Linked DNA regions of Cricetulus griseus. The protein of the gene in region 2 binds, or shares a complex with, the protein of the main gene of each other region. Links are inferred from orthologs where the notes say so. Each region holds a gene or a part of one and is shown on either strand. Other genes may lie near its edges.

What was found.
Region 1: Lamtor4 (region 2) and Fnip1 share a complex: the UniProt entries of both Homo sapiens proteins name them as parts of the lysosomal folliculin complex. The link is inferred for Cricetulus griseus from reciprocal best matches to the Homo sapiens genes LAMTOR4 and FNIP1.
Region 3: Lamtor4 (region 2) and Lamtor2 share a complex: the UniProt entries of both Homo sapiens proteins name them as parts of the ragulator complex. The link is inferred for Cricetulus griseus from reciprocal best matches to the Homo sapiens genes LAMTOR4 and LAMTOR2.

What each region holds. Positions count from the first base shown.
Region 1 is NC_048600.1:68,689,416-68,692,937, reverse strand, and holds part of Fnip1 (folliculin-interacting protein 1), read right to left. Parts: intron 580-3,522; coding exon 464-579; intron 1-463. UniProt on the Homo sapiens protein: Binding partner of the GTPase-activating protein FLCN: involved in the cellular response to amino acid availability by regulating the non-canonical mTORC1 signaling cascade controlling the MiT/TFE factors TFEB and TFE3.
Region 2 is NC_048597.1:116,737,374-116,741,621, forward strand, and holds the start of Lamtor4 (ragulator complex protein LAMTOR4), read right to left. Parts: upstream 2,803-4,248; 5' UTR 2,766-2,802; coding exon 2,673-2,765; intron 2,412-2,672; exon of another isoform or gene 2,406-2,411; coding exon 2,325-2,405; intron 1,916-2,324; exon of another isoform or gene 1,824-1,915; coding exon of another isoform or gene 1,782-1,823; intron 160-1,781; coding exon 42-159; intron 1-41. UniProt on the Homo sapiens protein: As part of the Ragulator complex it is involved in amino acid sensing and activation of mTORC1, a signaling complex promoting cell growth in response to growth factors, energy levels, and amino acids.
Region 3 is NW_023276806.1:65,955,267-65,959,552, reverse strand, and holds the start of Lamtor2 (ragulator complex protein LAMTOR2), read right to left. Parts: upstream 2,809-4,286; 5' UTR 2,716-2,808; coding exon 2,648-2,715; intron 2,347-2,647; coding exon 2,184-2,346; intron 370-2,183; coding exon 280-369; intron 39-279; coding exon 1-38. Other genes in the region: Ubqln4 (ubiquilin-4), read left to right, coding at 3,662-3,769. UniProt on the Homo sapiens protein: As part of the Ragulator complex it is involved in amino acid sensing and activation of mTORC1, a signaling complex promoting cell growth in response to growth factors, energy levels, and amino acids.

The DNA.
Region 1 (3,522 bases), on a different chromosome or scaffold from region 2:
CAGATGCTTACAATAATGTATCTAAAACAAATTTAATAAGTAAAACATGAACACTTTTTTTAGGATTAAAAATTTAAGTTTAATTCCCTCTGCCTATATTCTTGACAAGCTACAGGAATACTGCAAGGGTCAGTGCACCTATATTAAGGGTGACAGAAATCTGTTTTTTGTTTGTTTCTGGTTTTCTCTGTGTAGCTTTGGAGCCTGGCCTTGAACTTGCTCTATAGACCAGGCTGGCCTCGAACTCACACAGATCCTCCTGCCTTTGCCTCCCTAGTGCTGGGATTAAAAGCGTGCACCACCACAGCCTGGCTTGAAATCTGCTCTTCTAAGATAAAAAGAAACGTAAACACTAGTAGGGCACAGCTTCTTGTAGGAAAAGGCACATAAAAACAAACAACAAATCAGAGGAACATGACAAGGGACACAACAAAGCCAGAAAAGAAACCATGAACATACATACCCAAGAACTACTCCTAGCTCCTTGACATGAACACGCATCTGTCCCCTCAGGTACTCAGACAGCATTTTGCTCTTGAAGTATAATTCCTGCAACCGGTCTTCAAGGTGCATTACACACTGTGGTTAGGGAAGAACCAAACTCTGTTAGAAAACAAATTCTAGCAGTCCATCGCTTCAACCACTCGGCCACCTAGTCAGCAAACAAATTCTAATTCTTTTGAGTAATGTCAAATTCCTTTCCTTATAGGAGACAGGGCATGAGGGATAACAACAGAATTTTGTAATGTATCTGAGGCTTGCTTTGAACTCCCTACATAATTCAGGATGGCCTTAAATTCTTGGGTGCTGTATTAGAGCACCACACCCAGCTAGCAAACTTCAGAGCATCAAGTTTTGCACAATTCCATTTGGTCATTCCAACATGAATTATGTTCAGAAGAAATTAGGTATGCAGTTTTAGACAAAAAGGAGCATAAACCTGTTTCTGGTTAATATCAAAGATTAACTCCAAACACATTGTTCTTTTTAAACTGCAATAAAATTTACCATCTTAACCATTTTAGATGTACAGTTCACCAGCATTTCAGTTGTTGTACAGTGATCATCAATACTCATTTACAAGACTTTAAAAACATTTTAATTTCAAATCTGATAAATGCATACATACTCATATTTCAAATATATATATATATATGTGAGTATATACCATATTCTCTGAGTTAAAAACAGTTTACAACAGTTCAAAGAAGGAACAATAGAACTTGCTGAATGAGGTTTATAACCTAAACAGTAAAACTTAAAAATACCTACATTTGTATTGCAATTAATTTATACATGTTTCCTAAAAGAGATGATTTTTTCATATAATTGATATTATATGTTTGAAAGGAAAAATGTAAATATCAACTAATAAACACTAAAGTTCTTTCTAATGAAAATGATCTGCTAAAAGTGTCTGATAACAACTTGTTTTATAAGGAGCCAGTGGTAATTAATGACTTTAATCCCAGCACTCAGGAGGCAGAGGCAGGTAGACATCCAAATTGGAGGTCAGCCTGGTCTACAGAGCAAGTTCAAGTTCTAGGACAGCCAGCACTACATGGAAAAACCTTGTCTTGGAAAAACCAAACCAAACCAAAACAAAACCCCAAAACCCAAAACTTGTTTTATTACTGGAAAACACAACTGAATTGATGCAGTGGTTTAATGATTGTGTTGTGGTTATGTATCTCATTCATAATTCTTATTTAGACTAAAACTGCCTTAAGAAAATGTCAGCTGAAGAATATGTATATGTAAAAACAGACAACACAATTTACCTCATTAACTATTATTAAGGTCTGTGTAATAGCTCTGGTTGTCCAGGAACATGCTTTGTAGACTAGGCTGGCCTCAAACTCAAAGAAATCTGCCTGCCTCCCCCAGGTGCTAGGATTAAATTCATGCATGCAACACCAACACCCAGGCTTTTATGGTTTTTGTTTGTTTGTTTGTTTTTCTTCGAGACAGGGTTTCTCTGTGGCTTTGGAGGCTGTCCTGGAACTAGCTCTTGTAGACCAGGCTGGTCTCGAACTCACAGAGATCCGCCTGCCTCTGCCTCCCAAGTGCTAGGATTAAAGGTGTTTGCCACCACCGCCTGGCTAGGCTTTTATGTTTTTTATTTGGAAATGGGGTCTAATGTATACCAGGGTGGTCACAAACTTGCTATAAAGTCCAGGCTGACCTTGAACTTTTGACTCTCCTGTCTCTGCCAGCTAAATGCTGACATTACAGGTACCACCACTCTTGGTTTAAGAGGTGCAGGGGATCAATCCCAGGGCTTTGTGCATGGGAAACAAGCACTCTATCTAGGGTATATTCCCTGCCCCATTACAGAACATTCTAAAATGCACAGTTGAATGACATTAAGAATATCTACAATGTACAACTATAACCACCATCCACTTGAGAATTTTTTTTATCACAAACTCTTTACCCAATAATAACTTCTCCTTTCCTCTTTCCTCCCACTTTCTAATAACTACTACTTTAGAGATAAACTATTAAATTTACAAACTTCTGTGACATAAAATAAGAATGACAAAGTGATTCCGTAAACATAACACCAAAACACAGGCAACAAAAGTTTTAGTTCTTAAATATTATAGGTCTTTCATCCAAGTTGATCTCATTTTTTTTTTACTGCATGAGAAAATATAATAAAACATATTCAAAATTCTAATACCAATGCATCACCTATAACCAAGGGCTAACTTACTCTGCCAAAAAATCTGAATATGTTTTCTCAATATACACTCTGAATAAAACATCAAGTAGTTAAAAACATATATACACAGTTTTCTTCCACTAGGTGGAATTTTAGACAAACAAATCAATTACCAATCTAACCTCCACTCAACTACTTCATAGAAAACTAACTCTACTTCATGTTTCTTTTTTTTTTGTTTGTTTGGTTGGTTTTTTATCTCATTTTTAAATATGGCATAAAATAAGGATTCAAGAACATTTTTTAATGTGCTTTTTGTTGTTAACACTTTTCCTTGTTAAATGTGGTCTTGGCCCTATTACTGAAACTAATCCTATATGAGAAGGTTTAATTCTGGGTTCTTCAATCTATAATGAATGAAGAATGAATCTGTCTATATTCTGGTCTTCATGCTATTACCACCATGTTTCTATTGTAGCAGCACTCTAATTTTTGAAATTAGGAAGTCTGATATCTCTAATTTTGCTGTTGTTTTTTATTTTGTTGGTTTTTTAAAATAGGGCCTCCCACAATGTAGCTCAGATCTGGGAATTACAGGAATGTACTACCGTGCCTGGCTACTTTCCTATCAAAACTACTTTGGCTCTTTGGGCTCCCCTGATGATCTATAATATGACTGGATTAGGAAGGGCTTTTTATTCTTTGTAATAATTTTTGTTGACTTTCTTTTTATTTTATTATATAGCTGTTACTTGCATGTATGTGTGCGCACCATGTGCATGCAGTACCCACAGAGGCCATCAGATTCCTTGGGGCTGGAGTATAGGTGACTATAAGCCATCATGTGGTGACTT
Region 2 (4,248 bases):
AAGCAACCCTCCCCATACCTCCACCAAAAGCAGGAGCTCACCAGACAGGCGCTTGAAAGGGACGTTTGTGCCATGGTGCAGCCGGAAGCCACAGGCTGTGCTGACCAGCTCTGAGATGGTACTGGCTGCCTGCTCATCGTTCTCAAGGTCCCCAGATGACTGCATGTGGATGGAGGAGGGTAGGGGCAAAAAGTAAGAGCCTAGAGTTTGGAACAAACTCAAGGCACAGGCCATCAGGCTCCCATACCCATTAGACCTCCCATAGTCCTAAGTTGCCTGCATTGGAAAAATTCTACCCAAAGCTTCTTTATGACGGTGTTGCCTTCCCTTTTGCCATCCTGTTCCTTGTCCTGAAATACCAACTTTTACTTGTAACTCTACTGCTATCAATGCTGTGAATCAAATTTGGGAGTGTTCATTAAATGATCTACCATACCCCCAGCCTCTCTAAGCAGGTGCTCTACCACTGAGCCACACCACTAACCCTTCACCTAGGATTCCTGGCAGATGTCCCAACTCTGAGCTAACTGCCCAGTCTTTAGAGGCTCCACCTGTTCCCAGTCTTCCCACTTGTTGTCCTGTCTGTACGCTATGAAGCAGAAACACCCACTTTATCTTGAAGCTTTCCCTCAGGCTACTCCTGGGATAAATGATAGGACAGTAGTCCAGACTGCCTCAATTTTCTCTTCCCACAACCTCTAAGTGGGTCCATTAACTAGGCTTAGTTCTTTTTGCTCTCAGTTTCCCCATCTGTATATTGGGGTGAACAGGACCTATTTTATGTATGGGCTTGTGAAGGTTTCATGAGAAAACATTGAGAGCATTATGTACCCCATAATAAATGTTGTATGTAAGTTTATCAGTCCACCTTAAACTCAGTATCTACAGCCAGGCCATCAAATTTTCCCTTAGCCACCTCCTTGGTCAGATTCCTTTCTTGAGTTCTTATTTATTCAGGCACCATAGTATTTTTCTGGTCTTCCCAGTTCAAAGTCTTACTGGATGAGTAATGTACCTGCAAAAGTGCTTTCATCTAGTTACTACCAACACATATTAACACCTCTAAGATGTATTCTCTGGGCTGTGGAGATGGCTTAGTGAATAAGAACACTTGCTGTACAAGCAAGAGGACCTGAGTTCAAATCCCCAGTCAGGCATGGCCACACTTGTAACCCCAGCAGTATACAGGCACAGACAGGTTGATTGCTGGGGCTTGCTCAGGGCTGCCAGCCTAGCTCCAGGTTTGAGAAATAAGGCAGAGAGTGCTAAGAGCAGGACTCCAATGCTCTGTACCGGCCTCAGCACATGAATAGGCACACATGTCTGTGCACTTGTGCAGACACACACTAAAAGACAGATACTGTGTTCTGTCCGTGTTCCTTATTGCTACCAGTCTACTTTCCTACCTAGATGACACTCCTGGAACAGTCTTGTAAAACCACTTGAGTGAGTCATGTTTTATTTAAATAACTCAAGATTCATCTAAAGATGTCAACGCTAGCCATAGGAAGTCCTTCACTGTAAGGTTCTTACCACACCATTCTTTCTGCTCAAACCATTTCAACAGAAAGCCACAACTAATCCAGACAGGGCCAGACACACTCAAGCAATTATGTCGAGGGTTCCAAGCCCTAAGTATGCTTTTCCTCCTTCACGGCCTTCTGCCCCTTGCAGCTCAGCTCAATTCCTGCCTCTAAAGGATTCTTGCCATAAAAAAAAAAAAAAAAAAAAAAAAAAGTTCTAGGGGTAGGTGAAATGGTTCAGAGCATAAAAGTGCTTGCCTCAATGCCTGAAGACCTGAGTTCAAGCTTCAGAATCCACATGTTGGAAGCAGAACTCACTCCTTGAAGGTTGTCCTCTGACACCCACCGGCTGTGGCACCCATATGCGACCCCATGTGAGTTTTAAAGATATACTGAATAAAAACATACTACCAAGTGATTAGTTAACAGCAAACTAATTGTATGACTTTAGAAAAGTTGGTAAAAAATGTTTTGAGGCAAGGTTACATGTAGCCAAGGATTACCCTGAACTTCAGCCTGTCTTCACCTTCCAAGGTTTTGTGCGTGCTAAGCAAATTAACTCTCTCCACTGAGCTACACACCCAGCTAGCCCTTTGGTAACAAACCTCTTTTATACCATAAAACAAGAGACTTGGATTCCAGACACTAATTACTCAAGCAGGGAGCCAGACAGAGGACAAAAATAGACCACTGGGACAAACTGGGCAATATGTGAAGGGATTTCTGGCTGTGTATCCCAAAAGGACAACCCCCCGTCCCACCCCGAGCCGTGCGCGCACGCCTCGCTTTCCCACAACGCACCGCCAGTACGGCACCTTCGCTCAGCACCAGGTAGCCAAGCTGGTCTGGGATTCGCTCCAGCCCCTGGGTCAGTGCGGAAGTCTAGTGGGTAAAGAGGCAAGGGGTGAGACGCGTGACAGCCTTGCAGACCCATCCTCCTCCGGGATATGGCCCTTCTACACCCCCCAAGCGGCTTGTAACACTGCGTCCCCACCCGCGGTCATACTGGACCCCGAGCTCTTCCACTTGGCTCGTAGGAGACCCAGGAGGCCTTCCTAGCCCCCTAGTCCCTCCTCGGGGCCCTTCTCGCTCCAGATCCTTGTGCTCCACCCCTTGTGCCATCTAGGCTATTCCCCAGCCGCAGAACACCCAGTGGTAGAGCCTTCTCCATCCCTCTCCGTCGCATCCCTCCCATCTCCGTTCCCTTTGGATCCCAGGAGGTGACAGCGGAGTTCGGGCCATAAGGGGGCAACCGAAGCTTGGGGAACCGGGATGCGGAACCCTAGCGGCGCACGCCCGCGCATGCGTCCTCACTCACCATCGCAGCCGTAGATGCCCGGGGCGCTGGCTACGGGGTAGGTAGCTTCCGGCCCAGGCTCGAGTCATGTGGTTTCACGAGCGGACGCCAGCCCAGCCCTTCGCGTGCCGATTGGAGGGCGGGTGCGTCATCAGACTTCATCCACCACTGTGGAACGCCGCTCCCTAGACGCACTGGCGGATTGGTTGCATTTTCCCCACCCGACAAGAGAGTCAGCGTCGGCGAGTTAGTGGGCGGGGCGGGACATTCCCCACCTCCCGCTCTACGAATGTGCGCATGTGCGCCCAGGGCTCAAGCGCCGAAGAGCAGAAACTGGAGCAATGTAGTGGTGTAGGAGGAATTCTCCTTAGGTGTCCCGCTTCAATCTGGAACGAGAAACTAACGTGAAAGACGATGGGTTGCTGTTCACAGGTTACTTTTCTGTCTTGAGGAGGCTCAAGATCGAAGTTACCCAAATATGAATGTGTAATTAAATTATGTGCATACACACAATAGCATATGATCAACACAAGGGAATAAAGTCCCGGCATACAATGTAGCGTGAGAATCTCGAAAATATGATACAAGATGGAGAAAGCAGGCTGGAGAGAAGGGCTCCAGAGACCACTCAGCTAAATAGCGAGTTCAAAGCCAGCCTGAGGCCTGAGCTACCTATCAGACCCTGACCAATATACATACATTTCTGGCAAATCCACAAAAACTGGAAGCATATTAGCGGTTGGTAGCAGGGCGAGAGAACATAGGGAGTGACTGTTGATGAGTGTGGGTTTTTTTATATATATAGATTTTATTTAAATTAGAAACAATCCTATTTTACATATTAATCCCAGTTCCCTCTCCCATCCTCCCATGTCCCTCACCACCTCCCATCCCCCATCCACTCCCCAGGGAGGGTGAGACCTTCCATGAGGGAACATCAAAATCTGTTAAGTCATTTGGGGCAGGGCCTAGACCCTCCCCTGTGTGTCTAGGCTGAGAGAGTATCCCTCCATGGGAAATGGGCTCCCAAAGTCCATTTGTGCACTAGTGATAGATCGTGCCAGAGGCCCCATAGACTTCCCAGTGCTCCTGACACCCACGTTCAGGAGGCCTGGTTTGGTCCTATGTTGGTTCCCCAGCTGTCAGACTGGGGTCCATGAGTTCCCACTTGCTCAGGTCAGCTGTTTCTGTGGGTTTTCCAGCGTGGTCTTGACCCTTTTGTTCATCACTCCTCCCTCTCTGAAACTAGATTCCAGGACTTTGGCTCAGTGCTTAACTATGGATCTCTGCTTCTGCTTCCATCAGCTACTGTTTGAAGGCTCTAGGGTGGCCACCTTTAAGGTATAGTCATCATTCTCATTATAGGGGACAGGCATTTAAGGTAGCCTCTCTCTCTACTATTGCTTAGGGTCCTAGTTGGAGTCATCC
Region 3 (4,286 bases), on a different chromosome or scaffold from region 2:
GTGAGGGGCTCCTCCAGGTACTGCACCAAGGCCTGGGCCTGCAAGGAGGGAAAAGCACATGTCAGTCCATGCATGGCCTATGCTTAGAGGTATCCCAAATTGGCTCCCTGCCCCACAATGAGCATCAACCAGACCCCAGCCCACCCCCACTGCTCTTCAGCCCATTTCAGACACGGACTAGATATGAGAATTTCAGAAAGGGGTACATGTAGGGAATGGACACAGTGAAGAGGGACTATGGCTGGGCCCAGGAAGGTTGTAACATAGGAATGTACTCACTTTGGCCTTCAGCATTCCGAAGCCTACAGTCTCCTTGGCATACATACATAGCAGAAGGTTGGCCACCCGAGTAATGGCTACACGGCCCTCCTAGTGGGGATGATACATTGAGGCATTCTGCTTGGCATCCTTAGTTCCTACCTTCCCCAGGGCTCCTCTGATCCTAGAGATATTGTCTTCAAGCCTGGCTGGGCGGGAAACTCATCTAGGAAGCTTTGCCCAGCTCTTAATACATAAGGGCCTGACACTGCCTCAGCACAGGCAATTCCTAATCAAGTTATTCTGGGAAACCAAGTCTCCCAGAAATGGGTTTTCTTCTCTAATGCCAAGAATTGTCTCAACAAGTGAGGTACCAGGAACAATAACCCAATTTGTTTGTTGCTCTTGCAGAGGACTTGGATTCAATTCCCAACACCTATATTGTGCATCCAGTTCAGGGGATCCAAAGCCTTCTTTTAGCCTCCTTGGGGGTACCATGCATGCACATGGTACACATATATAACACCTGGGAAAAACTCTCATAAAGGGGTGCTGGGAAAATGGCTCAGCGGTTAAGGGCACTGACTGCTCTTCCAGAGGACCCTGGTTCAATTCCCAGTACCCACATGACAGCTCACAGCTATCTGTAACTAACTCCAGTTCCTGGGGACCCCAACACCAATGAACATAAAATAAAAATTAATTAAAAAAAGAGAAGAAAAAAAAAAACAAAAAAAACAAAAAAAACAAAAAACCTCTCATACAGGGCTGGAGAGATGGCTCAGTGGTAAGAGCACTGCCTGGTCTTCCAAAGGTGAACTCCCAGCAACTACATGGTGTCTCACAACCACCTGTAATGAGATCTGGTGCCCTCTTCTGTCCTTCAGGGATACATGCAGAGAGAACACTGTATACATAATAAATACTTATTTTTAAAAAAAACCCTCTTGCCAGGCGGTGGTGGCGCACGCCTTTAGTCCCAGCACTCGGGAGGCAGAGGCAGGTGGATCTCTGTGAGTTCGAGACCAGCCTGGTCTACAAGAGCTAGTTCCAGGACAGCTCCAAAGCCACAGAGAAACCCTGTCTCGAAAAACCAAAAAAAAAAAAAAAAAAAAAAGACAGACTTCACATTGCAGCAAGAAAAGTGATGTTTCCTGAAACTTGTTTTAGGTGTGTGTATCAATGTGTATATTAGGCTTTGACTCAAAAACAAAAATTGTCTGAGAATGGATCTAGGACCCCAAAGAGCTCCACTACTGAGCTCCATCCTAAGTTCTTTAAAATACTCTTATTATGGCAGGGCTGTAGTGAATGTCTTTGGAGCTTTAGCTCTAGATTCAGCCCCCAGCAGGAGTCAGCAATGGTTAGGAGTGGTGTAAAGGGCTGCCTGAATAACAACGAAGAGCTTTCTGAGGGGCATTTGCCCTTAGGTGAACTGCTTCGGATCTGCATGCCATCACTGTCCAGGGTGCTAGGAACCAGGCATGCCTCTTTAGCTCTATCTCCTCATTCTGTGGTACACCATCCTTACTGATGGAGTATCCATTTGTCCAAGCATCACTCTACCCTAAGGCCTTTGCAATTGCTTTTCTGTCGGAAATACTTGCAGAGATCCACCTGCCTGCCTCAGTCTCTCAAGTGCTGGGACTAGAGGCATAAACCATGTCCCATACTGTCAAAAATATTTTTCCAACAGATCGCTGCATGGCTGATTCCCTTCCCTCTCCAATCTTCCTCCAATCTTTTAGGAAATGTCACCCTTTCATCTATCTGAACCCTACTCTCACTTTTTCTTTCTTCCTTCTTTAATATCTACGTATTACTTATTTGGCAAGGTACAGGGGTGCACACTTGCAATCTTAGTATTCGGGAGACTGAGGAAAGATGATCACTGCAGTTCGAGGTCAGCCTACTTTACTCCATACCATGCAGTCCATGAGGATAAATTTGAGATTGTCTTCATTAAATGCTTGGTTCCCGTTCCGGTCGTAGGCAGCCCAGATGTTACTGGCGATGGCCGCGGTGACCCGGGCATCTGTGTCCCCATAACCGGAGTAGGCCAGCAAGGATCCCTCGTTATTCAGCAGCCTGGCGAGGATGGAGAAGGATTATCGACAAACTCAGCAAGAGTGAAACGCCTGGGTTCCTATTCCAGTTCCCGCTACTGGCGCTTTTAGGAAGCCAGGATCTGCTAGGAATATATCCTGGAACATGCCCTACGCACTCGTCGACTTCCCTTTCCGAGGGGAGCCCTACGTAGGGTTCCCGAAACGGCCGCTCATACGACCAGCCTCCTCCCGGTGGAGGGCTACTTCCCTACCCCTGCTGCAGGCAGCCGCGCGCCGCCCCACTCCAGCGCTCGCCGCTCGGGTCCTTGTTGTGCACTCACAGGGTGCTTTGGACTCCCCCGGTGTTGGCTTGGCTTAGCACCTGCGTCAAAGCCTTGGGACGCAGCATGCCTGCGTCTCCTAACCCTGACCGGCACACACCCCGTCACCGCCGGCCGCAGCTCGCCAGCCGCTTCCGGTGGCCCAGAAGCCTACCTGCGAGGCGCCCTGGGAGTTGTAGTCTCCGGGCCTACCCACTGAGTCTCTGGCCCAATCCCCGCCCCGCGCGGGGGGTAGCTGGGAATTATAGTTTCTTGTGACCGCTCAAGGAATTCTGGGAACTATAGTTTGGCTTCCTCGCCAGACCATGAGGCGGGGAGGGGGGGTGGAGAGCGGGAGTGCAAGGACAGAGGCGACGTTGGAAGGACTTTTAACCCCTTGTACGAAAAGGGCGCCCTCGTGCCTACTAGTCAGCCCGCGATTCAATAATAATAAAGATCTGTGTTTGCTAGGCACACCCTTGGCCATTTTTCAAATCAGTATTGCACGATGGTCACAATTCTGTGCGGTACTGCAGTCTTGACACCCAAGGCTCAGAGAAGCCACGTAGGCAAACTCCAGGTCTCTGGATGTCCTCGATGGCCCCCTCGGGCCATAGCTATGCCTGCAGAGGTGTTAAGGGCGTCCAGATCCAGGAACGACCCCAGGCCTGGCAGAGATTCCGCCTCCTAAGAAAACCCAGTTACCCCAGGGAACAGAGATGAGGCGGCGACACAGAAAGTCCTTTGTCCCGATCGGGGGGGAGCCGCGGGCATCGCCGAGGCTCGGCGCCCGCTACGCCGCCCTCTGGGCTCCGGAGAAGCTTGCCCTGACCAGCTGCGAACCCCGCTCGGTCCTGGGCCGCCCCAGCTGCAGTGCCCCCCCGGGCCGCCCGGGGCGCTGTGGCTGCGGCTGTCCGGAGGGGGCGGCGGAGCCTTGGGGAGGGGCGGGAGGGGGAGTTGGAGGCGCCGGAGTCGAGCCGGGCCGGGCGGGCCGGGAGAGGAGCCGGGCGGGCTGGCGGGCGGCCGGGTGGCGGCATGGCGGAGCCGAGCGGGGCCGAGACGAGGCCCCAGATTCGGGTCACCGTCAAGACCCCCAAGGACAAGGAGGAGATCGTGATCTGCGATCGAGCCTCGGTCAAGGAGGTAGTACCGCTGGCGCTGGAGGGAGGAGGGCGGGAGCGGCGCACCGCGGGGTCAGCGCTGAGATGGAGACCTCGGGGACGGCCTGGCTGCGGGACGGGCCCCCGGCCGGGGCGGAGCCCACGGGGATCCGAGCTGCGCGAGGGCAGACGAGGCGGGTAGGGGGCGCCCTGCCTGGGCTAGTCCGGCGAGCGTGGTGCGACGGGTTTGGCCACGCTACCAGGGCTGGGGGCGTGGTGGGGGAGCTTGAGAAAGAGGCACCTGGCATGCGGGCGCCCCGAGGGTCCTCGGCTTGAGGGTAGAGTGCGCCACCGTTACTGGTGGAGGTTCCAGGCGCCGAGGCACAGTGTGGCCCGAGTGAGCTGTGGCTAAGCTCCCCCGGGAGAGTCGCGTGGTGAGGGTACTCTCTCTCCGTACAGATCCTTCCTGCTCGCACATCGAAACGGTTGTGTTGTTCAGTTTTCTGCTCTAAAGGATTTATTGAGCTCCGTAGGTGCTCAACAAAATAATGTTGAATGAG